Oryzias latipes: one gene and its partner. The protein of the gene in region 2 binds, or shares a complex with, the protein of the main gene of each other region. Links are inferred from orthologs where the notes say so. Each region holds a gene or a part of one and is shown on either strand. Other genes may lie near its edges.

Region 1 (14,996 bases), on a different chromosome or scaffold from region 2:
CTTTGGGGCCATTAGCACGTGATCGCCGCTACATTATGATGAAGCTTTCAAGTTAAAAGCAATCGTTAAAAGCAGCGTAAAAAAGTCCACCGTCACCAACGGGTTTGGAAAAGCCGGTTTGCTGCGTGACGGAGAGAACAGCGCATGGAGTGAATTTACACTCCATTTACGGTTTCTAAGGAAACCGTAAAAGCGGAATTTTGCTTTGAAAAACTCACAGCCTCCGTGTGAGCTGGAGACATCTTCTCCTGCTGATTGAGCTGCGGGGCCGATGGCAGTCTGATGGCTCCCACACGAAACAACGCATCCGCCCCTCATACACAAAACGTACAGTTTTAAGTCCGATTGCTCTGCACAGACACGATTTGCTCCGTCCACCGGCGCAACGGGGACGAAGTGCTCCTCCTTGAAGCTGCCCTGGCCAGAGGTGTCGGAGTAGATAGGAAGGGGAGACAAGGAGCGCGCGGGGCGGGAGCGGAGCGCAGAGGCGTCCGCGGAGTGCAGAGGCTTCTGAATTCTGACGCACGCGCCGCGCTGAGGCGCGCGCTTTTCAGTCGCCGCTGCTTTATTTTACCGTTGTGTTTTCTAACCAGCCCTGTTACTCCCATAACACTGCTGCGACACAAGCGGAAGGAGAGCTGTACCCGTTCACCCCTCCATGCACTGCTGCTACTTGCTCATTCTTAAACACGTACAACAGTATGGCGAGCCGGGCGTTGGCCCCGCCTTTAGCCCCTAAGACTCATGGGAAATGTGGAATCGCGGATGTAAATTTCCTCATCATAACTGAGGGATGTAATGTTGATTATATGGTTACTGTTTGTAATTTTATGTTAGATACCTAGATTGTCAATAAGTAAAAAAAAATGAAATAAAAACACCATAACTGAGGAACTTGTGAACAGAATAGAGGTCCATGCTGTTTGACAGATGTCGATACACTCAAATACATGAGCCAGAGGCAAAACTGGCACCACCCACAATGTGCTAATAAATTGCACTCACTCTGGGATGCTGGGCGTGATCTGTCAGGATGACAATATCGCCTAACACATGCGCGGCTTGGACTCTGACGCGGCTTGTGTATGTATAAAAGCAGTCAAACACGTGAATATGGGTGGGTGCAGCTTGTAATCGGGTGCGCTTTGTAGTCCGGAATTTACGGTACTTTTGTTGTAGTTGTTGTTTTTCAATTTTAAATTGATTTTTGTTCCTGAACAGTTGTTTGTTTTTGTTCTTGGTGTGATCTTCATTAGTTATTTCTGTATTTTGAAAAAATTTGTAATGTTTTTTTACAGTTTACATGTTTTGCAGACCGCATGTTTTTTACACTTTTGCAGCTGTATTTATTTAATATTTATTTCTTTATTTAATAAGAATCTCATTTTTGATAATAATTTTTCATAATAATTTTAGTAATATTTTTAATTATCTAATATAAATGTCATTTGTGATGTCCTTTATTGATGTTATATTATATAGATTATTTCTGAATGTTGTGTTGCTGCCACAGAAATGAAATTTCCCCATTGTGGGATTAATAAAGTCATCTATCTATCTATCTATCTATCTATCTATCTATCTATCTATCTATCTATCTATCTATCTATCTATCTATCTATCTATCTATCTATCTATCTATCTATCTATCTATCTATCTATCTATCTATCTATCTATCTATCTATCTATCTATCTATCTATCTATCTATCTATCTATCTATCTATCTATCTATCTATCTATCTATCTATCTATCTATCTATCTATCTATCTATCTATCTATCTATCTATCTATCTATCTATCTATCTATCTATCATTTATACAAACGCACCTTGGTACCTGATCCAAAATTAGCTCTGTTGGGAAATAGTTCATCTCTTCTGTGCTTTAACTCCTCTGAACAAATAGCAGTTGTTTATGGAATGGTGATTGCAAAAAAAATGATATTGACATTATGGAAATCTGACACTGTGCCTCTATTTAAGATGTGGCTTTCTGAACTCACCAGTGTTCTGCACATGGAAAGGATCCGATATGTTCTGGAAAATAAGCTAAAAGTATTTTTTGATGTGTGGCAGCCTTTTTTGGATCATTTAACCAAGTATAAAAAAGATACAACCCGCCCACAACAGAGTTAATTGTGCCACTTTTTATTTTTTTTATTTTTCTTTATTGCTTGGAAAGGATTTTTTCAAATTGCAGTGTAATGTTAAGTTTCCTTTATAGACTCTCATTTCTTGCCCTGGTTTTTGTGTGTCTGTTTTTTTTTTGTCTTTTTTGATTGTTTTCTTCCTGTTTGTTTTTTCATCTCAGTGGTTGTTCAAATGTATGTTGTTTTTTTTTTAAAACTTTAATAAACATATGTTTATATAAATGTGAACATTCTTCTTCAGGAAAGTTTAGGCTCCAACAGTCCAGCAGGCAGAAAATGCCTCAGTAATCAAATCAAATCAAACCATTTATACAAATATGCTTTGTTTTTCATGGAATGGAATGAGATTAATATAAAAACATAAAATTGAGAAAATAAAATTGGTCTTGAGCCTCTTCTTAAAAACCTCTACGGTCTCTGTGGCCCTGAGGTTCTCCGGCAGGCTGTTCCACAGGCTAGAACCATGATGGTGGAACGAGGCCCACCGTGAGTTTTGGTCCTCACCTTAGGGACAACAGGAAGTCCAGCACCGGAGGACCTCTGGGTCCCAGAGGGTTCATAGTTTAAAAGTAGATTGGTTAAATATGAAAACCCAAGACCATAAAAACCCTTAAGAGAATTTTATAATCAATCCTGAAGCACATAGGGAGCCAATGCAGCGATTTTAAAACCGGTGTAATGTGTTCCTGCCCCCTGGTTCTCGTCGGAACTCGTGCCGCCGAGTTTTGTAAAAGTTGTAAGTTTGAAAGAGATTTTCTGGATTAACCAACGAGCAGGGCATTACAATAATCTAAAGGACTATAAATAAAGGCATTAGCACCTCTGTGCTGGCAAGAGAGAGGAACAAGCGGACTCTGGTTTTTAGGTTGATGAAATCCTGTTTTCACAATGTTTCTGATGTGAGGAATGAAATTCAGCTCAGAGTCAAAAAGTACAGCCAGGTTTCTCACACATTGAGAGGGTTTAAAATAATGAAGATGTTGTAAAATCATCTCTCTCTTGTCTTCAGAACCGATGATTAAAACTTCAGTTTTGTTCTGGTTAAGCTGTAGGAAGTTTTCTGCCATACATGACTTTATATCAAAAATACAGTTTAAAAGAGTGTTTATAGGTTCAAGGTCATCAGGAGACACAGCGATGTAAAGCTGTGTGTCATCAGCATAGCTGTGAAAGTCAACGCTGTCTCTCCTGATGACATCACCAAGAGGCAACATGTACAAGTTAAAAAGTATTGGACCCATAATCGACCCTTGGAGAACACCACAACTTATTTCATGGATCCTTGAGGAGCATGTATCCATACTTACATAAAAGATTCAAGCTGTGAGATAAGAATGAAACCATTTAAGAGCAGTTCCTGAGAGGCCAACCCCACTCCTAAACTGGTGATCTACTGTTTTACAGGCGGCTCTAAGGTCCAGCAGCCCCTGAACAGAAAGTTTCTGAGAGTCAGAATTTCATCCAAGATCATTAACGATCATTAAAAGAGCCGTCTCTGTTCTGTGGTTGGTCCTAAAACTGATATGTTTCTAAAGTGTTTTGGTTATTTACTCATGTAGGGCAGGTTGTAGCGTTTACCTGGGATAGAACTCGACCAAGCATCTCCGCATAAACCAGAACAAAACTCCCCAGTGTTTCTTCTGGTAAAAACAATGCTGGTGATCTGGTAAAACCAGTGTATTACACAGATGAAATGTTAGATCTTATTGCATTGATTTGACCCATGAAGTGGTCTGCAAAGTCCTCAAATGCAGCATTACATGAAGGCAACCGTCAGCTGGGAATGGTTTTGAAAGGTGAGATCAAAGTTCAGGCTGAGAAGACGGAACCACTATAGTCAGGATGAAACTGTCTGTTTTAAAGAGGTATGGTCTGTTGTAAAAGGTCGTGAAATTATCAATGTATGGAATGACGACATGTTTTTAACCAGATGTGAAGCTGGCGGACGTGTGAGAACACGATGTCTCCATTACGGGGTGCAGGTCGTGGTCCGGAAGTGATCCAGTTTCTGTTTCACTGCTGGATGCTGTGAATCAGAATGATGATGTTCATTTCCAGTCTGATTGCTGCAGTTTCAGGCTGTTGGTGCCTGCATGTGGGATGAACGTCTCCGCAGAGGGGAGTTTACCAGACAGTAGAGGGCAGAGTTTTTAATGTTTGACGACCGCTCCTGAGAACAACAGCATGTGGTACCCGCCAACCCGGACAGAGTCTCCCACGATGAGGAGCAGCTGCTGCACAGGTCCGGGTCTCCCAGCGACGGCAGCAGTTTTATCCAACAAAAATAAAAACATTTGTCCGTGTGGTATTACTGTGGTATTACTTTCATGCAGAAACCCACAAACCTCATATACAAACAGTCAGGACCATAAATATTTGGACAGAGACACATTCTTTCTAATTTAGTTTCTGTACATTACCACAGTGAATTTGAAATAAAACAACTCAGATGCCATTGAAGTGCAGACTTTCAGCTTTTATTCCATGGGTTGAACAAAAAGATTGCAGAAAAATGTGAAAAACTAAAGCATTTTTTAAACACAGTACCTTCATTTCATGGGCTGGTAAGTAATTGGACAATTGACCTCCATGCTATTGCATGGGCAGGTGTGGGCAATTCACTTGTTATGTCATTATAGGTGAAGCAGATAAAAGGAGTTGATTAGAGGACTTGTGCTGCATTTTGAAGATTTTGCTGTGAACAGACAACATGCGGTCAAAGGAGCTCTCCATGCAGGTGAAAGAAGCCATCATTAAGCAGAGCAAACAGAAAAAACATGAAACCAGAAACTGCTACAGTATTAGGAGTGGCAACATCAACAGTGTGGTCCATCCTGAGAAAGAAAGAAAGCTCTGGTGAACTCAGCAACACCAAAAGACCTGAACGTCTACGGAAGACAACAGTGGTGGATGATGGCAGAATCATTTCCATGGTGACGAGGAACCCGTTCACAACAGCCAACCAAGTGAACAACACTCTCCAGGAGGTAGGTGTATCAATATCCAAGTCTACCATCAAAAGAAGACTGCATGAAAGTAGATCCAGAGGGAACACTGCAAGATGCAAGCCACTCAGAAGCCTCAAGAATAGGAAGGCTAGACTGGACTTTGCTAAAAAGCATCTAAAAAAGCCAGCACAGTTTTGGAAAAACATTTTTGTCATGTCTTGTCAAGTTCCTGTCAGTCTCTGTTGTTGTCTCGTGTTTAACTTCCTGTTTTATTTTGTAGGTTTAACTCACCTCTCGTTTCAGTCCTTCCTCTCCCTTCCCTTGTCTGTTTCCCCACAGCTGATCCTGCCTCATCATCCCCGATCGTTTCCACCTGTGCTTCCCCTCCTCATGTATTTATAGCCAGAGTTTCCCTGTGTCCTGTGCCTGATTGTCTTGTTTTCTCCTTGACAAGCCAAGCCTAGTTTATCAAGGTCTAAGAAATTAAAACGATCCAAAACTCTGCATCTGAGTCCAGTCCTGTGTTCTGCCTTGTGTCAGTACAATCAGGCCAGAATGGACTCAGCAGAGCGCAGCGATTTAACTTCAGTTCTGCAACGCCTGGAAGCCCGCCTTTCTCAGCAGGAGGACTTCCAGAAGGCCCTGGCATCTCACATGGTGCAGGTCTCCACCCATGTTCAGGATCTCCGCCAGGGTCCGTCCTGGGTCACCACGCCTCCGGGTGCTTCTGCATCCATCCCTGTTCCTCCCTCTCCCACCATGCCTGCCTGGACTCAGGAAATCAAGATAGCCCCCCCCCGATCGTTACTCGGGGAAGCAGGGACTATGTAAGCTCTTTCTGACAGACTGTTCCATTCATTTTGAACATTCCCCCCATGCCTTTGTGTCAGACAGAGCTCGGATCGCCTTCATGATCTCCCATTTATCGGGGAGGGCCCGTGCTTGGGCCATGGCAGAGTGGGCTCGCGACTCTCCGCTCTGTTCGTCTCTCATTGCATTCCAGGAGGCTCTTCAGACCACGTTCGATCCGGTGTCTACCAGCCGGGACAAAGCGCGGGAGCTGACCAGCATACGCCAAGGTGGGGACTCTGTCTGTGATTACGCCATTCGATTTCGCACCTTAGCGGCCGAGAGCGGGTGGAACTCGGTGGCGCTGTATGACGTATTCCTCAAGGGTTTGGCTCCGCGCATCCAGGAGCAGCTCATACCTTTGGACTTACCTCCGGGTCTGGACTCCCTGATCGGTCTGGCCATCCGCACAGACAACCGGATCCCTGAGGGTCCGCTGCTGCATCTCAATAATATAACAATTAAAAACAGATATCCGTTGCCACTTATGTCCTCTGTTTTTGACCAGCTCCAGCAGGCCAAGGTGTTTACCAAACTAGATCTCCGTAACGCCTATCATCTGGTCAGGATCAGGGAAGGAGACGAGTGGAAGACCGGTTTCAATACACCCAGAGGACATTATGAATACCGGGTCATGCCTTTTGGGCTCACCAACGCTCCCGCCGTGTTCCAGGCCATGATAAATGACGTACTCAGAGACTTCTTGGACCGATTCGTGTACGTCTATTTAGACGACATCCTTATTTACTCCCCCGACCTAGACTCTCACGTCTCCCATGTCTCTGCGGTTCTTCAGCGGCTACTGGAGAATCATCTCTCCATGTTCCATGTCTCCACCGTCGCCTTTCTAGGGTTCATAGTGTCTGCAGGAACAGTGGAGATGGATCCTGCCAAGGTCAGCGCCGTGATGGACTGGCCGTCTCCTGACAGCCGTAAGAAACTTCAGCAGTTTCTGGGGTTTGCGAACTTTTATCAACGCTTTATCCGGGGCTTCAGCTCCATTGCTGCGCCCCTCCATGCCCTCACGTCTCCACGTATGCAGTTCCAATGGACACCGGCGGCCGAGGCCGCCTTCCGAGCTCTGAAACGCCGCTTCACATCGGCTCCGCTGCTTACCCTGCCTGACCCACACCGGCAGTTCGTGGTGGAGGTGGATGCGTCCAATGAGGGGATCGGAGCCGTCCTGTCCCAACGGTCTGAACAGGATGGGAAGATGCACCCCTGTGCGTTCCTGTCTCGCCGTCTCTCATCAGCGGAACGCAATTATGATATCGGCAACCGGGAGTTGCTGGCGGTCAAGGTGGCTCTGGAGGAGTGGCGGCATTGGTTGGAGGGGGCCCAGCACCCCTTCATCGTCTGAACGGACCATAAAAATCTTGAGTATATCCGGAACGCTAAGAGACTTAACGCTCGCCAGGCCCGTTGGCGACTGTTCTTTGACCGCTTTTCTTTTACCCTCTCTTACAGGCCGGGGTCCAAGAACGTCAAGCCGGATGCCCTGTCTCGCCGATTCGACCCCGCGCCTGTTGCCAAAGAACCGGAACCTCTCCTTCCGCTGACTTGTGTGGTTGGAGCAGTGTCTTGGCAGATAGAATCAGAGGTAAGGCAGGCTAACGGTGGGGTGCTGACGCCCAGTGGGTGCCCGAGGAATCGCCTGTTCGTTCCTCCAAACCTACGCTCAAGGGTGATTCACTGGGCCCACGCCTCACTGCTTTCCTGTCATCCGGGAGTGCGGCGGACTATGCACGCCATCTCCCGGAGATTCTGGTGGCCATGCATGGAGCAGGAGGTCCGGGAGTACGTTTCCGCTTGTTCAGTCTGTGCCCGGAACAAGTCATCCACCGGACGACGCATGGGACTCCTACAGCCTCTTCCCATCCCTTCCAGACCGTGGGCGGAGGTCTCCATGGACTTTGTCACAGGGCTTCCCCTCTCACGTGGTCACAACACTGTTTTGACGGTTGTGGACCGGTTCTCAAAAATGGTCAGGTTCATCGCCCTGCCTAGACTGCCTTCGGCCAGGGCCACAGCTGACATTTTCCTGAACCAGATCGTGAGGTACCATGGTTTCCCCAAGGACATTGTATCGGACCGGGGTCCGCAGTTCGTGTCCCGGTTCTGGAGGGAGTTCTGTCTGCTCATCGGCGCTACGGCCAGCCTGACCTCAGGTTACCATCCGGAGTCCAATGGCCAGACTGAACGCCTCAACCAACAGCTGGAAACCGGCCTCCGGTGCTTGGTCTCCCAGAATCCCTCGACATGGAGCAGGCATCTGGTCTGGGTGGAGTACGCTCACAACACCTTACCCACCTCGGCTACAGGCTTCTCGCCCTTCAAGTGCGTCTTCGGCTACGAACCTCCTCTGTTTGCGGCGCAGGAATCTGAGGTTTCGGTTCCGTCGGTCCACGCCCTGGTCCGCCGCTGCCTTCCCATCTGGGCTGCCGCTCGACAAGTCCTGGAACGACAACGGGACAGGGTCAAGACGGCTGCTGACCGCCGCAGGCGTCCCGCTCCAGATTACCATCCCGGACAGAAGGTCTGGCTCTCGGCCAAGAATCTTAATCTACACATCCCGAGTAGGAAACTGGCCCCGCGGTTTGTGGGGCCATTTCCCATCACCAAGGTCATCAATCCTGCTGCGGTTCGTCTTCGTCTGCCCCGGTCCCTCAGAGTCCATCCCACGTTCCACGTTAGCAACATCAAGCCGGTGGTGGACAGTTCCCTGGTGCCTCCCGCGGAGCCTCCTCCTCCGCCCAGAATGGTGGGAGGTGGTCCGGTGTACACAGTCCGGAAAATACTGGCCGTCAGGAAGAGGGGCCGGGGTCGCCAGTTTCTGGTGGACTGGGAGGGTTACGGTCCGGAGGAGCGGCAGTGGATCCCGGAACGCTTCATTGTGGACAGGTCTCTCGTGACGGACTTCTTCAGGTCCGGGGCTCCTGGACCGTCAGGAGTCGGTCCTTAAGGGGGGGGTTCTGTCATGTCTTGTCAAGTTCCTGTCAGTCTCTGGTGTTGTCTCGTGTTTAACTTCCTGTTTTATTTTGTAGGTTTAACTCGCCTCTCGTTTCAGTCCTTCCTCTCCCTTCCCTTGTCTGTTTCCCCACAGCTGATCCTGCCTCATCATCCCCGATCGTTTCCACCTGTGCTTCCCCTCCTCATGTATTTATAGCCAGAGTTTCCCTGTGTCCTGTGCCTGATTGTCTTGTTTTCTCCTTGACAAGCCAAGCCTAGTTTATAAAGGTCTAAGAAATTAAAACGATCCAAAACTCTGCATCTGAGTCCAGTCCTGTGTTCTGCCTTGTGTCAATTTTTTGGACAGATGAAACCAAAATCAGCTTCTACCAGAATGACGGCAAGAGAAAAGTATGGAGAAGGCGTGGAGAAGCTCCTGATCCAAAGCACACTACATCATCAGTAAAACACGGTGGAGGCAATGTGATGGTCTGGGCGTGCATGGCTGCTAGTGGCACTGGGACACTAGTGTTTATTGATGACGTGACAGAGGACAGAAGCCTAATGAATTCTGAGGTGTTCAGAGACAGACTGTCTGTGCAGATCCAGGTGAATGCAGCCCTGTCTGCGCAGATTCAGGTGAATGCAGCCCTGTCTGCGCAGATCCAGGTGAATGCAGCCAAACTGATTGGACGGCGTTTCATAATACAGATGGACAACGACCCAAAACATCCAGCCAAAGCAACTCAGGAGTTTATTAAAGCAAAGAAGTGGAATATTCTTGAATGGCCAAGTCAGTCACCTGATCTGAACCCTTAAGCAGCATTTCACTTGTTGAAGACTAAACTTCAGACAGAAAGGCCCACCAACAAACAGCAACTGTTTGCCGCTGCAGTAAAGGCCTGGCAGAGCATTCAGAAGGAGAAAACCAGCATCTGGTGATGTCCATGAGTTCAAGACTTCAGGCTGTCATTGACAACAAAGGCTTTTCAACCAAATATTAGGAATGACCATTTGGTTTGCACTTATTTAATTTGTCCAATTACTTACCAGCCCATGAAATGAAGGGACTGTGTTTAAAAATGTTTTAGTTTTTCACATTTTTCTGCAATCTTTTTGTTCAACCCATGGAATAAAAGCAGAAAGTCTGCACTTCAATGGCATCTGAGTTGTTTTATTTCAAATTCACTGTGGTAATGTACAGAAACTAAATCAGACAGAATGTGTCTCTGTCCAAATATTTATGGTCCTGACTGTAGGTTTACCTGCAGCTGTTTTGTCATCCAAGGCTGTCTTCAGGATCTGGACCTGGTCCTGCTCCAGCTCCAGACCACGGACGTTCAACCGTCAGCATGTTACTGTGCTTTCATTTCCCCCAAATGTCTGCTTTTTATTGGTCATTTCAAACGATTTAACAATTGAATGCAGCTAAATAAAAAGAAGCGTCTTCAGAACGCCGGTCTGCCTCTGTGCTCAGACTTGGCACAGTTCAGGAGTCCTTCACACGATGACGGGCATCAGGACTGATGATCTCCTGGTTCCTTCGCTGTCCGTTTGTGTGCAGATGGCTTCAGCATTAAGAGGCCCATCTGTCTGCTGGACTCCTTCAGAATGGCTGCTAGTTGTTGTCATCCTGTCGCCACACATGCACCCCCTTCCCAGACGTGACAGTGGAGGAGCTTTGGAACCAAAACGGTAATCCATCATCGGAGCAGAACCGGCCTGTGGTGGTTTGATGGTTATGAACACGCAGCATACATGTGTGGAGGAACGTGCACATGTATGCACTGCACAAAAACCAAATCTGGACGGCAACTATAAAGGAGAATATTTACTACAAACCACAACTTTTCAAATAACATGAATGCCACTTAAAGCAGATACATGCAAACTAACCTAAAGACATAAACATAGGCAAGGCAAGTTTATTTGTATAGCACAATTTGTACACAAAGTAATTCAAGGTGCTTCACAAAACAGAAAAATGCATTAAAATCACAATACATCATAGAAATAATCAACGTAAAATGTACTTTAAAAAAAAAAAAAAAATTGAAAATTGATTTAAAAAGAAAGGAAGGAAAGGAAAGAAAAGTGCAGATAGGACCTTTCAGTCATATAAACGGCTAAACAGAAATGTTTTAAGTCTAGATTTGAACATGAACACAGAAGACGCCTGTCTTACGACTTCAGGGAGGCTGTTCCAGATTTTAGCTGCAGAATATTGAAACGCTGATTCCCCTTTTTAGTTCTGACTCTGGGAATCAACAGGAGGCCGGCCCCTGAGGTCCTCAGAGTACGAGATGGTTCATATGGCACTAACATGTCAGAGATGTACTTTGGTGCTCGGCCATGGAGAGACTTGTACACAAGCAGAGCTGCTTTGAAGTCTATTCTTTGAGGTACAGGGAGCCAGTGCAAAGACCTGAGCACAGGACTAATGTGATCATACTTCCTGGTTCTGGTCAGGACTCCAGCAGCAGCATTCATACAAACATACAGACACAAGCTGGAGCAGAAGAAACACCAGTGACCCAAAAAGGCTTTCAGTAAATCATTCATTTAAAACAAATGAACAATAAAAGAAACTGTTTGAAACTTATCCTGTCCAACAGCTGAAGGCCTCTTTGTTGGACAGATTTGACTGTTACAGTGGGGGTTCATGGATCCTCAGACAGACAGAGTATATTTATATAAACCCCTTTAGGATTTGAGGCTAAGCTTTATTTATAATATTCATATTTGTATGTATTCCTTGTTGGACTAGACGGAAAAGGAGAGAGAGAGTGGGGTGTTAGAGGGGGGGTAAGGGGTGGGGGGTGGGGGGCTGATAATACAGAGTCATAACATAATATCCTCAGTAAATTGCATGACTTAGTTCACACATCAACCAATAGTCTGCACACAACTGTTTACAGGATGGAAGTCTATTCATACATTCATGATGGAAGATTTATCTCACAGGACTTCTGCACCCAGACAGACACACACTAGATCTGCATTACCAGTATTATTGGAGGGGGTGTAAAAACAACCCCCACGCCCATATTTGTGCTAAAGTCAATCAGCAGTTACTGAGGCTTTCTCCTGCTGCCAGCTTCAGTTGCACATCTTGAAGGCGTTCAGCTGTGATGCCAGAGGTGAGCTGCTGATGCTGCATCCTCCTTCAGAACTAAAGGTTTTCATTCCAAATGACAGCTTTGTTTTGGAACAAACTCCTTATCGCTCATCACTTTACCACATCATCGAATCATTCGGTCCTTGTTACAGGGCCACGCCTCTGGTTTTGTGGTCACCTCCTGTTCTGTCCTTCGTCCTGGGAACAGATGTTCCAGTGTCGACCCTCGTCTTCTTCCGGTCTCTGAATCCAACGCCGCCGCAGCAGATCTCTGACCGACCTCACTCAGGAAGCCTTTTCCTGCAGCCGGTGGGTCTGCTGAGCAGCCCTTAGACTGAACAGCCTCTGCTCTGTCCGTCCTCTCAGGTTTGTGGCTTTGCTCTTCCGTGCACACGTCCATCCATGATGGAATAAAGACGTCGCGTTCTGATGCCGTCACGCTAAACGGTCTCATCAGAATCCAGCCGGGAATACACAGACCTACAACGGTCCTGTACTGCGGTCTGGCTCAGTCAACCGTTTTCCGGGTCGTTGGACCCAATTACCTTCAGGGGTTTCCATGTTTACGTGCTTCCACATGTAAACAAACACGTTAGTTTTCCTTCTGGCTCAATTGTAGAACATGCCACAAACCATGAATCCAGGTAGCTCCTCCCCCTCCTAAACATCCCAAAGGAACAATGACGGCGTTTAAGTCAAAAGCTCAGAGGGTTTAGTGTCTGCGGCTCTCATCGTCACTTCCTCTCTAACCGACTCACACAAGTAAAAACCACTTTCCTGCTTTGCATTCAGACGTTTCCATAAATGTTCACGATTGTGTTGCTTTATTACAAAGAACATTTGAATGAAAACAATCAGTTCAACTGAAAAAGCTACCAGATTCTGGATAAAGGAGCATTTCTGTCCGTTTCATTCCTGATCCCATAAAACCTGAACGTTTGATCATAACTGGCCTCACAGCAGAGTCTCCGGTCAAACTCGGTCCAAGACGTCCAGTGGGGCTAAAAGACTCGGTCGAACTCCGTCTGACTGGTCGTGGCCGGGTTTCGGTTCTGGTTGGGCTGCTGTTGGGGGATGTGCCCCCTCCGTCTGGGCGGGGCCAGGTACTCAAACATGGACGTGTTGTGAGTGGACAGCATGTTCTTGAGGTCTGAGGGCATGGGGTCGGACCAGAAGAAGTCGTGGTTCAGGGCGTCGTCGCTGTCTATGCGCTGAGCCGGGTCCAGAACCAGCAGCTTGTCGATGAGATCCAGGGCGTAGGCGTCCTTCACGTAGGCTTTGAGGCGGTCCTTGACCTTCCTCTTCTGGCCTTTGGGAAGCTCCATTTTCTGGTACAGTTCATACTTTTTGTCCACGCCGGGCCACACCTGGAGAAACAGAAATGATTGACAGCGAGCTGCTGCAACGCAGAGCCCCGCCCCCAAAGACCACTCGCCTCTGCAGTGATGGAGCCACACAGCTGGCTGATCAGGGTGAGCTGGTGCTGCTCCGTGTTGCCTTGCATGATGGGACTTCTGGTCCACATCTCCGCCATGATGCAGCCCGCCCCCCACAGATCGATGGGGGGGCCGTAGTCGCGCTCCCCTGCAGGGAAGGAGAACAGGAACGCGATTGGTTTCCTGTTGAAGCCGTCTGCTTCTCGACTCGTCAGCCTCTAAAGACCCGTTTCCCTGACGACCACGACGTTTTCAGCCATGTAACCTGAAACCCGCGTCGTTTTCCGGAACCGTTTCTGCAGGAGTCGGGGCCGCAAAAAGGGGCCATGCAGCATCTGGGTCGCATAGGAGCCCCAAACCAGAGCTGTGAAAAGTATTTACAGTCCGCATTTTTTAATTTTACAGCTGTGCACATATATTTACATGATCAGTGACAGACACTCCTCATGTCTGGAAGACGACATTTCTATTAGGTCTGGTTCTTCTTGTAACAAGTTCAAATGTAGAAACCGATCTACGTCTGAAGTACTGAAGCAGAAAGTGTCCGTTAAAACCTTTTGGTTCTCTTGTTTCTTCACTCCCAGCTCAGTCAATCCTCCATTCTGGCCCCAAACCCTGAATCCAGTCACGTCACTTTTTAAAAAAAATCATTTCACAAATGAACGACTGGAGTCGCGTCGTCACCACGCATAATATTACTACTAAACACTCTCCATAGTACTGCTTCACAGTGATACAGCACAAGATGGTTACCGGTCCATAAACGCACAGGAAGCTTTAGGCTCCAACATGTGTCACGGATAACCGGATGAATAACCGGACCTCTTGGTGTCGTTGACCCGGATCTGTTTTCTAGACTGCAACGCTGGATTTCTACCAGACATCCTGAAACACTGAGCCGTGTCCAAACACGGCTTTTATTTCTGATCCCCGATCCACACGGATCCCTGCCATGGTCCGGCACACGCGTGTACAGTGGCGTTCAGCGGTACCGCCGTGACCCAGTTTGAAGGCTTGTTGTCCTGGCGCCGTGGCGGGACAAAGACGCTGCTGTCTGTCCCAGTGCGACGGGCTGGTAGCAGCAGGGAAGGTGGTAAAGCCGGACATCGTTGCTCCGTTTTTAAATATTCTTTTGTCGTTTCCCAGATGAACCAGAAGACTTCCTGGATCTGGGTGGTTTTTTACAATGGGAATATCGTGAGTTCAAAGGTCGGTAATGTTTAATAAATAGACCTCGATGAACAAATGCTTGGATGTGATGTGTGTACAAGTACTTAAATATATACTATGAAGGCTTTTTTCTTGTCGTTTGGTCCCATCTTTCTTTTTTTGCTGATCTGCTGCAGATTTACTTTCCAACAACATAAATGTGAAATCACCAAGACAACAGCAGGAATGTTCCGTTTTTGCACAAAGCCCTGAAAGACGACATTCTAATGTTTAAATTCCACGTTTCCAGCGTTCCTCAGCGGTTTGCGGCGTTTACCTAACAGCAGCTCTGGAGGTCTGTACCACAGCGTGACCACGCGGTTGGTGTAGCGGTT
Region 2 (16,548 bases):
ACACCTGACATTAAAAAACATAACTTAGGATGTTGTAATTGTGATTTTTGCATTGTTAGGTTGCACACGTGTCTTGGGCTTGTTATATGGTTTTGCTATAAAACGTGTTTTAATAGCTTTCATGTATCCTTAATACTTGAATGTATTATTTCTTAGATCAAAATAAAGCATGTTTTAAATGGACGCACCAGAAATCCACACTATTTTTAACCATGAAAATGTAACACTTAATTCAACTGCATAAGCAGGAAAAAAAAAATTAAAATTCAGTGCATTCACCATTTCCCTGTTACAACCAAAAACCTTTACTGCCCAAGTAAAGACCTTTTTTCAGCACACTTTTAATTCATCAAGGGAAAACAATATCTTACATTAGTTTGGCTGGTTTGATGTACTCCAAACAGCTTTGTTTTTATAAAAACTTTTATAAAAAAAAAAAGACACCAGTTAGGAGCAGGTGGACTAAAATTCATAATAAGCTACATGTGTGAAATGTACAGGAGATACCAGATTTCTTGTCAACAAATTGAACTTTTCCACTGTTGAGCGCTTATACAAAATAGAAAACATTCATTTCTCATTATACTCAGGGTCCTGCAATGGAGGTATTTTTAACAACAATTTCATTTTACACAATTATATTATGCATGCAAAGGTTTTTGAGGAATGCACATAGCAACCACTTTAAATTATGTGCTAAAAAGTATCATCAAAAACCTTTACATTTCATGAAACAGAAATATATTGTCACGTTTTCCCCATTTATCTTGTTGACAAGTCCTTCATCATGACCATTATGGGTGGATATGTTAAACCTCTGACGAGTTCTATGCATGTCCTTAGTATGAAGTGTATTCATAGGAGAACTGAATATGGATATTTCACAACCATTTAAAACAATGACTGCAACACTTAAAAAAGACTAAATGTACAAGCTTTCCTTACTTTACATTTCCATTTTTTTTTTGGCAATTTTCCATAACAAAATGTCCAAAAAATATTCTTTTACACATACTGCAGTTTTGTTTTCATGTTAACCCAATAATGTCCATAAAATAAAACAGAACGCCCAGGGCTATCATTTCTATATGGCTCTTTAAAGAAAGAAAGAAAGAAAGAAAACTAAAAACTGAAGATGGCTTTGGAAACATGCACTCTCAAATGAGCCGATACACTTTTAGGACGTTTCTGCACTTACAGAGCAGAGCGGGCCATAGAAAGATAAAAAAAAAAGCAACACGTTTTTTTAAAAGGAGTCAATAAATAACTTATCGTAAAAAATAAAAACATCACAAAAAGATGTGGATTAAAAAGGACCTAAAAGTGATGGGAGACGGCTCGGGATTTTGAAACTGTCTCCCACCATCAGAGTTTATCCAAAGAAAATAGAGATATCTACACGTTTGCTTTTTGATTTTCCTCAAGAAATCCTTAAAATATTATTGCACCACCAATAAAATGCAAATCATAATTTAAAAAATTCACCCCGGTACATTTCTCTGCTGTCCCCCTGAAGCCTGCGACGATGTTGGGTGAGTAGAAAAGTCCAAAAAGTAAAACAACATTTGAAACATTGTACAATACACTTTTTGTAACAAAGTGGACGTTTCTGACGGTGAGTATGTGGGCTATTTGGGTAATGGAGGAAGTGGGGGAGGGGGTTCTGAAGGTAGGGGTGGGGGTCTGGGGTTGTTCCCTCTGGACCCAGCGGGGAACCTATAGTCTCCGTACTGAGAGCGGTACTCGAACATGGACGGCTGTGCCGGCTGGACGCCCTGAGCGCTCAGTAGAGAGTTTAACATGTCAAAAGTGTCCTGGTACTCGTTGGACTGGACCCCGCCCGCTGCACTGTGGCCATTTGTGTCCGTCTTGTCACTTTTGGAGTGCGAGTACGCCCCTTGGTGGTGGGAAAGGCCCAAAGCAGGAAGCAGGTCGGGTCCATGACCCAAAGTTTGTCCAGAGGAAGCGGACAGGGACGGTAGTTGGTATGGATTCCTGGACGACTTGCTGACTTTGAGGGGCGGGTGGGAGCCGGCTGCAGGGTCTGGAAGGTGCGTCCTCTTCCGTGAGGCTGAGGATGACGAAGAACTTGTTCTAGAAGAGTCATTGGGAACTTTTTTACTGCTTCCTAAGCCCCCACTTGTACTAGAATGTTTGTGGGAGGACGAGAGTGAAGCGCTGCTGGAGGAATGGTGATAGTGGTGGTGGTTAGAGCGCTCCCTGTGCTTGTCCCTGCTCTTACCATCCTCCCCAGAGCCTGTCTTTAGTTTGTCAGGCACTCGTATTTTGACTTTAATGTCTGCATCCTGACCTCGGTCACTGCCACTTTGCGCACTGCTGCCGCTGCCGTGTCCGCCACCGCTGCCCCCTCCTGACCCAGGTACTGGATAACGCACTTTTAAAGAGCGGTCGTGTCTCTCTTTTTCCAGGGGGATTTTCAAAATAATGGGCGAGGGGTTAGACATGTCAGAAGAAAAGCTGGACTGCTGGTGGTGATGCTGCTGCTTCTCTTTCCTCTGCTGTTGGCCGATGAGAGCCTTCGCTGCATTGGCATATTCTCTCTTGACGCTGTCCTCCATGTTCTCAAGCTTCCGCTTCTGGGCGGCTAGTACATCTGCGTTCTTGGCCCGGTACTCACTCAGTGACACTTTGGCAGGAGCGTGGACCTCGTGGTTGGGCGGTAGTTCAGTTGCAGACGCACCTTTCCCGCTCCACGTCTGAGCGCTCCCAGGTGTGACCTTGTCGCCCGCAGATGAGGAAGAGGAGCCCGATGGAGCGGAGAGGCTCATGAGTCCTGCCACAGTACTTTCTGATGAGACCATGGAGATCATGCTGATCATGGCGTCTCTCTGTTCACCTTCCTCCTGGACCTTGGGCTTGACCTTTGGGGTCTGGCCTCCAGCCTGAGAAACAAGAAACATTATTAGGTCAGAAGTTCCATTCACACAAAAAGAGAGCGCTTGGCTTTCAGCAGGGGAGCCCAATCGGATCCATACGTCAGTGCACGTATGTGCATGTTTAACCACACAGAGTGCCAGATGTGTGATCGACCAGCCCCCTCTGCCTGCCATTGCATAGGCTCTGCTGGCACAGCCACGCGCCGGTTCCTAGGGTGAATGCCACTCCAGATTGCAGGAGCATTTGAAACCCACTCAGGCAGCAGTGCCGTCCAGAAGCATGTGCTTCTCGAGCCCCACCCATGAACCGGGCACCCGGCTGGGCTGCTGTGTGCACTCTGCCGTTGCTCGCCCACCACCCTGAAGAAAGCCCGAGCAGGTGGAGACCAAGAAACTGTGGGCTCCGCTAGCTTACAGGCAGAAACAAAGTCGTACCTTCCAGTTCCGAATCCGTTTAAGCCGACTAGGAGTTTTCTCCAAGATTTGCAGAAACTCATGCGTGAGTTCTGCAAAAGAGTTACAGGCTACAGTCACAAACTCTCCAAAGACGGATTTGCAGTTCTTTACACCATTTTTGCATTTACAAAAAAGAATAGTTAAAAAAAAAAACAACAGGATTTGTGAAGTACCGTCCAAAAGCTCCAAAGTAACCGTGGGATCAACGTATTCCCACCAGTGTTTGCCATCAGTGGAGACGGGGATCTCCCAGTTGGACCACTTGCATGCAAGATGTATGCACACGCAGGCCACGACGGGGGGGCAATACTGCAGGCAGAAGGTGGTCAAATGCAGACTGGGTGGCAGGACGCACGAAAAGAGAGAGAGAGAGGAAACAAATCAGCCCATTTCCACATCAAAATTCCCACCGTAAAGCCGATGTGAAAGGAGGGCATACCTGTTAGTTGCCATAAAGTAGGATGTTTGGGCCAGATCCTTGCTGGCTGCAATAAAACCAAAACAAAGAAACAAAAAAAGACCTTAAAGTCTGCAAATTAACAATTGGAGGTACAAGTTGTTGAATAGTGCCAAATAGACGGCATTTTTTTTCTTTATATACGCATATTGTGGACAAGGTGCTCACCTCTGACGAGCTGAGTGCACTTGACAACATGAGTGTGAGGATGATCAATGGTGATTTCAAAAGCTGCCACAAAAAGGGGGACAAGAAAAGAGAAAGACATCAGCTCACTGGTTGCCAAATTAAAACGTTCAGGTTTATTTGAACCATTTGGCTTCCACTGGATAGGTAACGTTACCAAAGACCCTAAGAAAAAAAACAAAAAATGTGTAATTATTCAAACAAAACGCCAAGTGGAGATCAACGTTTTATGAGAACTCTTCTCATGGGATCAAACCTTGGGCAAAATCAAAATATTAAAACCTAATCCACACAAAAAAGTAGAAGGAAAATTAAAAAATGGCCCATCATTTTCAGTTCCTCAAACATGTTCTGCTCCACGAAGTTGTGAAAAAGCATTCTTAAATTTATATAGAAAAAAAGGACGAAAATAAAGGACTGAAATGGTAAACGATAAAGAGAATGAAAGAAATGCGACTGAACAGTGGTGGAAATGCTTCTAACATGAGTTGAGTATGTGTTTTCCAGTGCTGATAACCACATTTGGAGTTTCTGGAAACAGAAAGCTGCAGAGGTCATCTCGGTCAGGATGATTCTCTGGAGGGAAAGGAAGGGTCCCAGGTTTGCCTCCCAAACTTACCCAAGGTCTGGAGTATTATGCTCTCAAGAATGACCAGGTCTTGGGCTTGTGTCAGGTAAGCCTGAGGTTGAGAGGACAGGCATGTTACTCTCCCAGACGCCTGCAAACTGTTGTCAAACAAGAGTGTCTGAGCAGCTCACTCTGTGGTCCTAGAAATGTTCGTCCATTCATGTAAAAGTCCACAAAGCGAGCGCAGACACTCCTGTTTTACAACCGATAGACATCACATCACCTGGGTGACTGAAACCTACACAATCAGACGCATTTTGACCCTTGCTCTCTCAACCCATAGGGAGCAGCGTCTCAAAAAAAAAAAACGTCAACAAGTCGGTCAAGTGGTTGTTTAAAGTTAACATGAAAAAGAAACCAAAGAGTTAAGAAACTCCCCCCGCCCCTCCTCTTATCACAGAACCATGGCAAACATTGTTCTTTCTAGAAAAGAAAAACTGGGATTAAGTGATGCACACAATTAAGACACAAGAACTGAGAAGACAGCTCAATGAAATGCAGTACACAGGAGAGCAGTTCAGATTTACAAGCCAAGCAGCGCTTTTGCAGTTTTTTTTGAAATGCAGGACAGACGAGTACTCATCTCACCGCCGTGAGACACTTACATCGCTGCGCACATCGGGCGACGGCTCCTGAGGATTGAGACACGCATGGGCCACTTTAATGACATGTTCCAGCTTCCTGGGCTGCTCTTCAACCTTTGCAGCGAGGAAAAGTGCGGCAGGAGAAATCACCTGAGGAGGAGGTGATAAGTTGTGACTTTTATTTCCACCGGTAAATAAATCTTTAAAACAAAATGGTTTTGGACATGAAAACACTTACATTTCGGTGAAATCGGGTGAAGGACTGGATCATGTAGAAGCGATGCATGTACACGATGGCTGTGTTAATGGTAAGTTGGGAGCTGTCACGCCAGTTAAGGACCATTGGAAAAACTGTGCAATCCTAAAACGCCACCGGAGAGAATTTTGCTAAAGTGACACAGACAGAACGTGTATCCTTAAAGCTGCGGACACACCGGACACGCGATGGACATTCTTGAGTGTAATCGCAGCATATGGTCTTCGCACTGCCCAAGTAGGGAGGGGCTTCTTCTCTCTCTTTATTACCATTTGTTAGCACATGTCTGCCACCTACTAGAAGTTTGGTGCGAAATGTCCAAGTGGGGAAAACCTCACAAAACTTGCTCCAGGCTTTTTCTTTCACAGCTCTATTCCGACATGAAAGACTTGGTTCATAGAATTCTGGCTGGGCACAAACTCTGATAATTTCTCTTTTAAAATCATCAAATGGACGGTACAACCGTGAATCAAAAGTGACGCCATCCATACCCAACTACCAAGTCCGAGATTTACACGGACTTTTTTTAATTGGAATAGGCTGCATAGCACACGTTGCAGACATTAACTGTAAATACAAACTAGACATACTGACCCCTCCTCCCTTATGTTCCAAACAGGAAGTACCCCCTGGCTCCAAGAAGCCAAAATTCCCATAGACTTTTATAGAGAAATAGATGGCTATTACTCAGTCACACTGCTTGTCACTCAGAATAACAGTTCTTGCTCTGCTATATATATTTTTTTACAGGTTCTTGCAAATTTATTTCCTGGTCTTTTTTTCTTAATCACAATTTATAAACTGACCAATCAAATGTCTCGGTAAAATGATTTGGTGCCCACTGGCCCCCCATCTCCAACCTTTGACAGATTCTCCCAAGCCACTTTCCGTGGAAGTGGTGTGGAATTCAAACATGCTTAGGATATAAAAGCCCCTCCCTTTCTTCTTAAATGGTGTGCATCTAATTAGCCAGTCGTGGCGGTTAAAGAAATAAACAAGTAGGTGGTGCAGATTACAGTAGATTACTAGCTCTTGGGAGCTTTGTGTGTCCTATTCAGAGCTCTTCTGGATCGCAGTCTGAGCATGCCTCTTAATTTGAAAATAAAACGTTTAGCTTAGTTACATTCATATAAACAAAAAAACTAAGAAATACAGTTAAATCTGGGAATTCTTTAGCAACATTCACGTGTTTTATGAGCTTTCCATAACTTAGGATACCCTTTGGTTGGAGGGCCTCCTTTAAATTTCACCGTGAGGCCCCCCAGAACATATGAAGCGTCCATGATGAGGATAATAAAAATAGCCCATCATGATTTTTACCACCACACCACAAACAACGAAAGCCAGGTTGCAGTACAGTAGTATAACCTCAATCCCTCACTCACAGCCTCTGAAGAGGCTTTTCAAGCCTACAAATAAACAATTTTCCTAAAAAGTTGATTCAATTTCAATTTATACTATAACTGTGCTGTTTATTTTTTAGCAGAATATATTCATCTGTTCAGAAAACTTCTTCCTAGTCATTTGCGGCTAGTGAAGCTAACGTCCCGGACAGGCCTGTCGAGCTACAGGCCTTGGTGGACCCGGCTAGCCTGAGACGCCGCAGGGAGATGTTAACGTAGAAACAGCGACGGAAAACAACCGCCATTTAGTCAACAACACACGATACTAACAAATAAACAAGAACCCGTCGAACAACACAAGAAATACCGGCCACGCTCTTGGCCGAGCAGGTTACACTTTGCTGGCTAGCATGCTAATGCTAGCTACGTGCGACGCAGCACGACAAAAGATACACATTGAGCCGCTGTCCCATGTCCTGGATCAGGTTCGCTGCCTGTTGCCTGTACGACAGCTCCTTGTCGGGGTCTAGTCCAGCTCGCCGAGAGGGGTTGTTGTCGATCTCCTGCCTGGTGAAGTACCATTTATTATTATTGCTTGCAGGGAGAGAACGAAACGAAGCCGCCATTACTAAGAAGGACGAGAGTTTAAAATTTCTGCGCGTCACAGGAACATACGTCACAGAGGGCGCTGTTCCTCTGGTAACCGACAGATGTCGCCAAAACCAATGTGTTACTAGGCAATATGGGTTTTTGCATTTCCTTCACAGATTCTGTGTTGGATTTTTTGGATACTTTTTCTTCTCTTTTTTGCAGTGTGGTGGTATAAATATTACTCCATAAAGATACAGCCCCGTTTCATTCACAGTGCAACTGATTGAAGGAGGTTTTCACTCAAATCTATCTTTCCTTAATAAGTCTTCTTGTCCACTTCGCAGAAAACCAGCCCCAAAGCATAACGTTTCCACCACCATGCCTCACAGTTAGTATGGTGTTCTTGGGGATAAAACTCAGCATTTTTGTTCTCCTAGTGCTCCTCTGGATCAGCCTCTGGCATGATTTAACAAACATGGACATGTGCTGGAGGTGGACCATTGGAGCTTCACTTTCTGACTTTCTCAATCTACTGATCAATATTTGTTCCAAAACTCACCTGTGGTCATGAGCTCTGGGGGATGACTGAAGGAACGAGGTCCTGAATACATGAGCTTCCTCCATCGGGTGGCTGGGCGGTCTTGTAGAGATAGGGTGAGAAGCTTGATCACCTGGAGAGAGCTCGGAGTAGATCCACGTCTCCCCTAGATCAAGCAGAGCCAGATGAGGCGGCTCAGCCATCTGGTCTGGATGCCTCCAGAGCCCCTCCCTGGTGAGGCGTTCTGGGCATGTCCCACTGGGCGGTGGGCCCAGGGAAGAACAGGACACGGTGGAGAAACGATGTCTCTCAGCTGCGCTGGGAAGGCCTTGGTGCTGACTGACCGCAACCTGGGCAGAATAAGATGGAATGATGGATGGATGGATGGATGGATGAAATGATGGATGGATGGTTGGATGGACGGAATGATGGATAGATAGATAGATAGATAGATAGATAGATAGATAGATAGATAGATAGATAGATAGATAGATAGATAGATAGATAGATAGATAGATAGATAGATAGATAGATAGATAGATAGATAGATAGATAGATAGATAGATAGATGGATGGATGGATGGATGGATGGATGGATGGATGGATGGATGGATGGATGGATGGATGGATGGATGGATGGATGGATGGATGGATGGATGGATGGATGGATGGATGGATGGATGGATGGATGGATGGATGGATGGATGGATGGATGGATGGATGGATGGATGGATGGATAGATGGATGGATGGATGGATAGATGGATGGATGGATAGATGGATGGATGAAATGTTGGATGGATGGATGGATGGATGGATGGATGAAATGTTGGATGGATGCATGGAATGATAAATGGATGGATGGATGGATAGAATGATGGATGGAAGGATGGATGGATGGATGCATGGAATGATGAATGGATGGATGGATGGATGGATGGATGGATGGATGGATGGATGGATGGAATGATGGATGGATGGATGGATGGATGGATGGATGGATAGAATGATGGATGGATGTATAGATGGAAGAATGGATGGATGGAATGATGGATGGATTGAATGATGGAAGGATGAATGGATAGATGAATGAAATGATGGATGGATGGATGGATGGATGGAATGATGGATACAGCCATTGATGGCGTAGTTCCACTTAAAACTAAAACGTTGAAAACTAAAGCTACAGCACCCTGGAGGAACGAATCAATCAGAGCCATGAAACGTGAATGCAGGAGTGCGGAGAGGAAGTGGAGAAAAACGAAATTAACTATACATCGCAAAATTTTTAAAGAACCGCAAATGATGTACAACCATGCAATAAAAAAAAGCAAACTTGATTTTACAAAACAAAAATGATCCTAAAGTTCTCTTTAAAACAATAGACAGTTTAATTAAAAGAGACTCTTAAAGGTCCTCCACAGCAGCCTCAGATGCTGTATGTGAGAGTTTTGCCGACCACTTCAAGAGTAAAATCAATGCTATTAGATCTAGTCTCTTAACTCAAAAAGGTGTCGTTTTGAATAAAACTATAGCATTGCATTTATCAGAGGAAACACTGGAAAGTTTTGTCCTGGTTGATGCTGTGGCACTTGGTCAGGTTTTCTCCCAGTTAAAGCCAACCACCTGCCTTTTAGACCCAATCCCCACATCGTTGTTGAAAACATTTTATGACTTCTTTGAGTCTGAGCTTTTAAATATAGTAACTTATCGTTTCCCCACTTCAGGAGGAAGCCAGGTCTCTACATTCCATCATTTTTTTTATCATGGTGTGCGTATGAGTGTGTGTTTGGGGGGTTGTTGGCACTCTTTGTCTTGTCATCTTGTTTTTAAATTTTATTGTATTTTATGCACAGCACTTTGTGACATGTGTTGTTGTAAAAGTGCTATATAAATAAAGGTTAATTTGATCTACCAAGTTTAGTAGAAAATGTTTATTGCAAAACTGTAAATCCAACTAGATTCTTTGAAACTAAAAAATATTTTCCTTCTCACAAGTTCCTAAACATTTCTTTCCGTTTTTTGTCTCCAAGCTGTGTTCAAACAAAATTCAGAATAATATAAATATATATATATATACTTTAATCGAGAATATGTAAAAGTTATGTTTCTTGATGAGTGAAGTAGATTTATGTACTAGTTGAAAGTAAAGTATGAAAGAACAAGAACGCGTACGTTCGACTGCTCTTCACATCAGCTTTTAACACCATCATCCCGCAGACCCTCACCCAGAAACTACACACACTAGGACTGAACCCCACTCTGTGCAACTGGGTCTTGGACTTCCTGACAGACAGACCACAGTCTGTAAAAATCCGCAACGTCTCCTCCTCCCCGATCACCCTCAGCACGGGCTCCCCCCAGGGCTGTGTGCTGAGCCCCCTCCTGTTCACCCTGCTCACGCACGACTGCACAGCGATTCACCCCAGCTGTCTGATCGTGAAGTTTGCGGATGACACAGCCGTGGTTGGACGCATCTCTAACAACGATGAGTCCAACTACAGGCAGGAGGTGGAACATCTGGAGAGCTGGTGCAGAGACAACAAGCTCTGCATCAACGGGAAGAAGACCAAGGAGATGATCGTGGATTTCAGGAAGGACAGATGCCCCCCTCCCCCCATTCACATCGGAGGGGACGGGGTGGAAGTGGTTTCCAGCTTCAGGTATCTGGGCGTGCACATCTCCAGCGACCTCACCTGGAGCACCAACACCTCCTGCCTGGTCAAGAAGGCACACCAGCACCTGTATTTTCTGAGGAGGCTCAGGCGTGCTGGGATGGGGATCTCAGTGCTGACCTTCTACAGGTGTGTGGTGGAGAGCGTCATGACCTCCTGCATCACTGTGTGGCACGGCAGCTGCTCTGCGGCAGAGAGGAAAGCTCTGCAACGAGTGACAAAAGCTGCACAGAGGACTGTGGGCTGTAGCCTGCCGTCCACCACTGATATCTATACGACCAGATGCAGGGCCTCCCGCATCCAGAAAGACCCCACTCACCCCTCACACCCTCTGTTCTCCCTGCTCCCCTCAGGCAGGAGACTGAGGAGCATAAAGAGCAGGACCACCAGACTGAGGAACAGTTTCTTTCCTGAAGCAGTCAGACTGCTGAACTCCGGTTGATCACTGCACACCCCCCCCTCCCCCCCCTCTCCATGGACAACAAGCTAATTCCCAAGTGCAATATCACAGGGCTGTGCAATGCTTAACATAACATACTGTGCAATTGAAAAATACTTCTGTGCAATACTCCGTAACAGTCTGATATCATTATTGATACTATATTTATTTATGTCTGAATGTAAACGGCTGGCCCGGGACCAGAGAGCCTAATTTCGTTTTATCATGATAAAATGACAATGAAGTTTCCTGATCCTGATTCCTGAAAGTAAAGTATTTTTTTATGTAACTGGCAATTTCAACAAGATCAAAGTGGCTCAGTGAGACAGAGTTTGGTAGTTTTTGGGGTTAGGCTTCATTTAAAATAACATACATAATTACAATACATTTGTAGATATTTTTATCCTGACCTCATAAATGCTCAGCTCATGTGACAGAATGTAGAAACGATCTACCCCAACATTTTGCTAAGGAGGTTGAACTGTTAACCAAAATACTGATGTAAAAGGCTGATAAGAGGCGACTGTCCAAAAATTAAAAAGTTTATTTTAAATCACAAAATGTTATAAAACAGACAGATAATTAAACAGGCGTAACAATGGGACGCCCCCCCCCCCACCCCCCCCAAGGAAAAAAAAACAAAAATGAACAGGCAGATGGGTCAAAGTACAGAGAAATACCAAGAGTGAACCACAGCAGTCAGAGTTTGAAAAGAAGTCAGACGAGGAAACGACTTTTCCCGTGTTTGGGCCTGAATTTTTTTTATTTCAGCCCAATATTTTCCAGAGGACTTTTTTTTTTTAAGTTTTATTCCTCGTTTCACTGCACAAAAATGCTGCATCATGATCCTAAAACCACAGCAAATGAAACTTTTGAAAATCTCTAGATAAGCAGTTTACCTATTTTAGCAGAAGACTCTGACCGGTTTCCATGTTTGATAGAGTATTTGCAGAGGAGTCACTCTAACGCAGATCTGCAGGACTTTTATTGTGAAGAATTTGCAGGAAGCCTCGAGCAAATACTTGATTCAATAGTTTACCAATCTTTTTTTAGGGAAAAAAATAAATTTTTTAGGGCTTTGAAGACTAAATGTATTAGCAGACGTCTTAGTATTTAAGTGTACTTTTGATCAACAGAACTACCGTGCACAGCATCTGTCTGCCCTCCGCTGTGAAACTCTAGAAAACAAACATTCACACTTTTCCAAATCTTTCAGCGCGCTTCCTTTTCTTTGCCTGTTGAGACACAAAGTAGAAAAAGGCGACATTAACAGCCAGCTAGACTTGTATCATCATTTCAGACTTGCCCTGATAAGTGAACGAGACGGAAAAGTACCTCAGCATCTTCTGCTCCGCCTGGGGAGGCACTTGTTAGGATCCCAAACCGCTCCTTCCTCTTTTTCAGCTTCTCATCCTCCTCAATCTGAGGAAATCAAATACACTGCATTGCTTCATCCCAGTGACAACTGAAGCACACATCTAGTTTTAGTTTTTGATAACTTAGTTCAAGGACAGTTTCTTGAAGAAAAATAAACGTTAGCGCCACCTGGTGATCAGTCTCCATCAAACTTAACGAGGACAAAAAGATGATAAAAGTAATATACTTTTTACCAAAAACAAACAACAAAATATTGATTTATGTGCATAAACAAAAAGGTTGCATTAAGCTGGTAACAGAATGTTAGCATCATCAGGCTCAGGCTCCATAACAAAAAATAAAAAAAGAGATTCTGGCTCTTAGTCCCTAAATGGACTAAATTGGTGCAATCCTCAGACTTCCTCTGAATTTTCCATTTACAGGGATCATTGTAATAATTTGTCCTCATCAACCATTAGACATTTATATAAGCAAAAAAAGGCAAATATTTCCTCAAATAAAAACCAGTTAAATTGTAATCAATAGAAGAAGAGTAAACTCTGGCGTCTTTCATCAGATGCTGCATTCAGAATCCTGAAGGAAAACCAGTGACTGTGGTGAGGCGCCGAAGCTCTCACCTTCTGAGAAATGGAGGAGACGTTCATGCCGAACCTCTCCGCTCTCTTCTTCAGCTGGTCAACATCCACCTTCAAGAGAGACAGAAACGTTGACTGTTGGTCTGCCGAGGCTCCACAGAATGAGCAGAACGAGGAGCAGTGAAGGACTTACAGCAGCTTTACTGTTCACCACCAGGCCTGCATGGGAGGCAAGACAACAGAGAGCATGAAGCAAAGACACCATCACAAAAACCATCATCTCATTTTCTCTGAATTTACTTTAGATTTAAATTACATTTGTCATTTATTTCTGCAAACAGCATTTCTTTGTTTATTGTGGGAGTTCTGTTCTGACAAGAACCCACGATAAGGAAATCTGAAGTAGTTCACTTATTTTTTACAATTATTGGAGATGTTTTACGGCAGCAAAACCTGACAAAACACACGTTAGACATTTCTTCTCAGACACACATGAACAGTTGGACGCTTTCGTCTCTCGTTTGAACTCTCAAAGTTCAAACCCTTCGAAGCAAAATAAGTCTAAAAACAAAGATCTGATGGCGATGGAAGAGGCAAACATTCTGCAAAGGGGACACGGTGTCGAGGAGAATGATTGACAAGATCTACAGCCAATCAAGACGCAGGACACAATACACTGTAAAAAAACGTTAAAGCACGCGAAATTGCACAAAAAAAAAATACAAATCAACGAAACAGTGAATCCCTGAAAGGTGAATGTGATGTGCGATGTGGCGATGTCAGAGTTTTTCTTTTGGATGACTGCTTTTTAATACTTACTATATTCTTGTTTTATATATAGGAGTTCCATACAAGCCGTTTTTCTTTTTGCCCGTTATTTTATTGTCCTGCATTGCTGCATTTCATTGCTACGGTTGAAGGTTAATCATTTTTCTGATGTGTGAGAGATCATCTGTAAATCTGCCACAAAAACCACACATCTACACAAACAATATAGACTAAAATGAGAGAATTAAGACCAATGAAGATTACAAGCACCATCAGGATTTGGAACAGCTGTCTGCAGCTGCATGAAGCTGGACAGGCCGGCACCATAGCTGTGTTCCCTCAGCAGGTTCCTTCTTTTTCATTGGCCATGCTTTAATTAAAGCCGATGAAACAAACAGTAAATGTAGGGTTTGTTTGTTTTTTTCCCATTCAGCAGCTAAATCTGAACCCTCCATCTGGAAAAAGTAACCCCCCCCCCCCCCCAGTGAAACCAGCAGGTCACAGAGAGACGCCGTACCTGCAGTGGGATTTGACGCCGTGGTTGAACCAAACCTGCAGGAGAAAAAAAGAAAGAAAAAAAAACCACCATAAAAGTTGATCATTTAATAAAAATAGAATAAAAAAAAGAACCAACAAGTGCACACTCGTTAGTTCTTTTTTTTTTTTAAATTGCATTTTTTTTTTCAATGGGCTTCTAGGGGCCTCGTTCATTTATAAGTAACAGGTTGAATCGTTAAATTTGGTTTGAGAAAATACTGGCAGCAATAATGTTTTCATTTTTTCACTCAAACTTCCTACAGAAATCAGCAAAGAAGGCTTTTCTGTTCAGTTCCTTCTGTTTTACCGTTTTTATTGCTGCCAAAAGTCGGTGCTAAATCAAACTTTGGTTTTCATTTTTACAACCAGTGCAAAATCCTCAATCAGGCCCCAGTTGGGTCTTAAATTCTATGTTTTTCAGCCTTTCATGCTGGAATCTGCATTCATCTTGTGTCTTCAGGTCCAGTCTGATCATAAGGAACCAAGTTTTACTTCTGCAGGCCTATTTCTAAATATTGACACCACTGTCTGATGTATTTTAAGATTCTTAGGTTGGTTGAATCATTTAATCATGTTGTCATGTCTAATTTAAATTTCAACACCTGCAAATTCACCTATGCAACAAAAACCAACAGAAAAACTTTGGGATTTTGATCACAACCACATGGAAAATAAACAAGACTAGTTTGATAAAAATCCCACAGCTATGGGGGGGGGGGGGGGGGGAGGGGGGGGGTATCAACCAGGTCAACTGTAGATATCCTGGTTTGCAGAATATAAAAGTTAACTAATTCCAGCCAGTGCAAAGAACAGATGCATTTCACTAAAGAATGTTCCTGTTTTTCTATGTTATTATTATTATTCATCTTTGATTTCTCCTCCCAAAGATAGCCTGCATTTGTGCTTCTCCTCGGTGTTTCTGGCAGAAACACTCGCTCATCTGTAGGGAAATGAGGAAAGCTGGAGCCTCACCTGGCGGCCCGCAGGGCCTTCTTGCTCTCAGCGGTTGCAGGCATGTTGAAACGCTCCGCCCTCTTCTGCAGCCTCTGCTCAACAAAAGCCCACAAATGACACGTCACTGTCTGAAATTCATCACAAAACCCTAAAAACATGCTTGTTCCTTTCAAACCCCAAACTCTTCTAAGCTGCAGGCTCTGAGTGTCTAATAAAGGATGATGCGTTTTCACCAGGTAAAAAAAGGCCGCCGAGGACGGTTGGAAGACGCTGGAAATCAGGATTAAAAAAATAAAATAAAACAGAAAAAAGATAGACAGAAGTACAACTACTGTACATGTGAGAGCACCAGAAGCCTCAGAATCTCCCTTCTTCTGAACATTTATCCAAGGCAGCATTAAGAATTGGTTTCTGCTTTAAAGGTTGAACAATGAATTTTAAATGACACATTTGGGAAAAGAATAGTTTTCCTCCATGTGGGACAATAAAGCTGAGAAAAGTTTCTTTTTTTAGACAATTGCTTTATCCAAAACACCTGACAGTAAAGACAGTAACCAATAAAAATCTAAGTGAGAGCATGAACAGCCATACAGATTTGTGCGTTTGGCACCAACCATCCCCGTGTTCACTGCGTCTGACCAGCGGACATTTTCGGATCTAAAGTGAATTCAAACCTACGCAGCAACACAAATGGACAGACTGGGCTCTCAGCACTGGCCTTGATCGAGCAGAAAATGACTTCTTGACGGAACTGAAGAGCAATAATCTACATGACAGGATGATGGAACTGTTTGAGGAAAGAGAGGAGGGTGGATTTTGTCATCAAATAATCTCATCTTCTGATGAGTGAACATCTAAATATCATAAATAAATTCCTAATTGATGTGGTTATGGTAGCGGTAATGTTTTGTGCTGGCTGTAGTTGCATAACAAGATTTGTTTACTGTTTTCTGTATTTAGAGGCACTGATTGTGGCTGCAGGAATTTTCAATCTGCAATGCAAAGCTAGTTTCTGCATCATAATATGGTTAATGAGGCGTTGAGTGATTCAGACGTTGCACTACTGAAGGCCCAGGTGTGTAATGCACGGTCCGCCACTGATGTTATCCTACCACTATTGTTATTTATTTTTTTGCAAAGTCACCATAATCCAGTCCTTATCAGAGTAAGAGCATATTATTCATCAAGTATGATGAATAATATGAATGGATGGAGTCCTTTAAAAAAGCAAAATATTTAAGTTTAAATAACTAGGTTGTGCTCTTATTTGGTTAAATTTAAGTTACAG

What was found.
Region 1: the proteins of ccnt1 (region 2) and cdk9 are in contact, whole or in part, in a crystal structure (PDB 3BLH), measured with the Homo sapiens proteins. The link is inferred for Oryzias latipes from reciprocal best matches to the Homo sapiens genes CCNT1 and CDK9. Residues at the interface, in NP_001231.2 of Homo sapiens: Arg5, Lys6, Arg11, Trp12, Arg26, Ile72, Gln73, Phe78, Phe89, Leu90, Lys93, Val94, Pro98, Lys99, Lys100, Leu101, Val134, Glu137, Ile139, Leu141, Gln142, Thr143, Gly145, Phe146, Glu147, Leu148, Thr149; in NP_001252.1 of Homo sapiens: Val8, Glu9, Cys10, Pro11, Phe12, Cys13, Lys56, Glu57, Gly58, Phe59, Ile61, Leu64, Ile67, Lys68, Gln71, Leu72, Leu81, Ile82, Glu83, Ile84, Arg86, Ile99.

Annotation. Positions count from the first base shown.
Region 1 is NC_019870.2:30,282,655-30,297,650, forward strand, and holds the end of cdk9 (cyclin-dependent kinase 9), read right to left. Parts: coding exon 14,939-14,996; intron 13,601-14,938; coding exon 13,452-13,600; intron 13,384-13,451; coding exon 13,018-13,383; 3' UTR 12,812-13,017; downstream 1-12,811. UniProt on the Homo sapiens protein: Protein kinase involved in the regulation of transcription.
Region 2 is NC_019865.2:25,908,265-25,924,812, reverse strand, and holds the start of ccnt1 (cyclin-T1), read right to left. Parts: upstream 7,468-16,548; 5' UTR 7,434-7,467; coding exon 7,261-7,433; intron 5,529-7,260; coding exon 5,447-5,528; intron 5,359-5,446; coding exon 5,230-5,358; intron 4,677-5,229; coding exon 4,616-4,676; intron 4,042-4,615; coding exon 3,979-4,041; intron 3,851-3,978; coding exon 3,793-3,850; intron 3,691-3,792; coding exon 3,527-3,690; intron 3,404-3,526; coding exon 3,333-3,403; intron 2,904-3,332; coding exon 1,629-2,903; 3' UTR 1-1,628. Other genes in the region: sarnp (SAP domain-containing ribonucleoprotein), read right to left, coding at 12,243-12,284, 12,385-12,471, 13,044-13,112, 13,195-13,220, 14,287-14,321, 15,279-15,352. UniProt on the Homo sapiens protein: Regulatory subunit of the cyclin-dependent kinase pair (CDK9/cyclin-T1) complex, also called positive transcription elongation factor B (P-TEFb), which facilitates the transition from abortive to productive elongation by phosphorylating the CTD (C-terminal domain) of the large subunit of RNA polymerase II (RNA Pol II).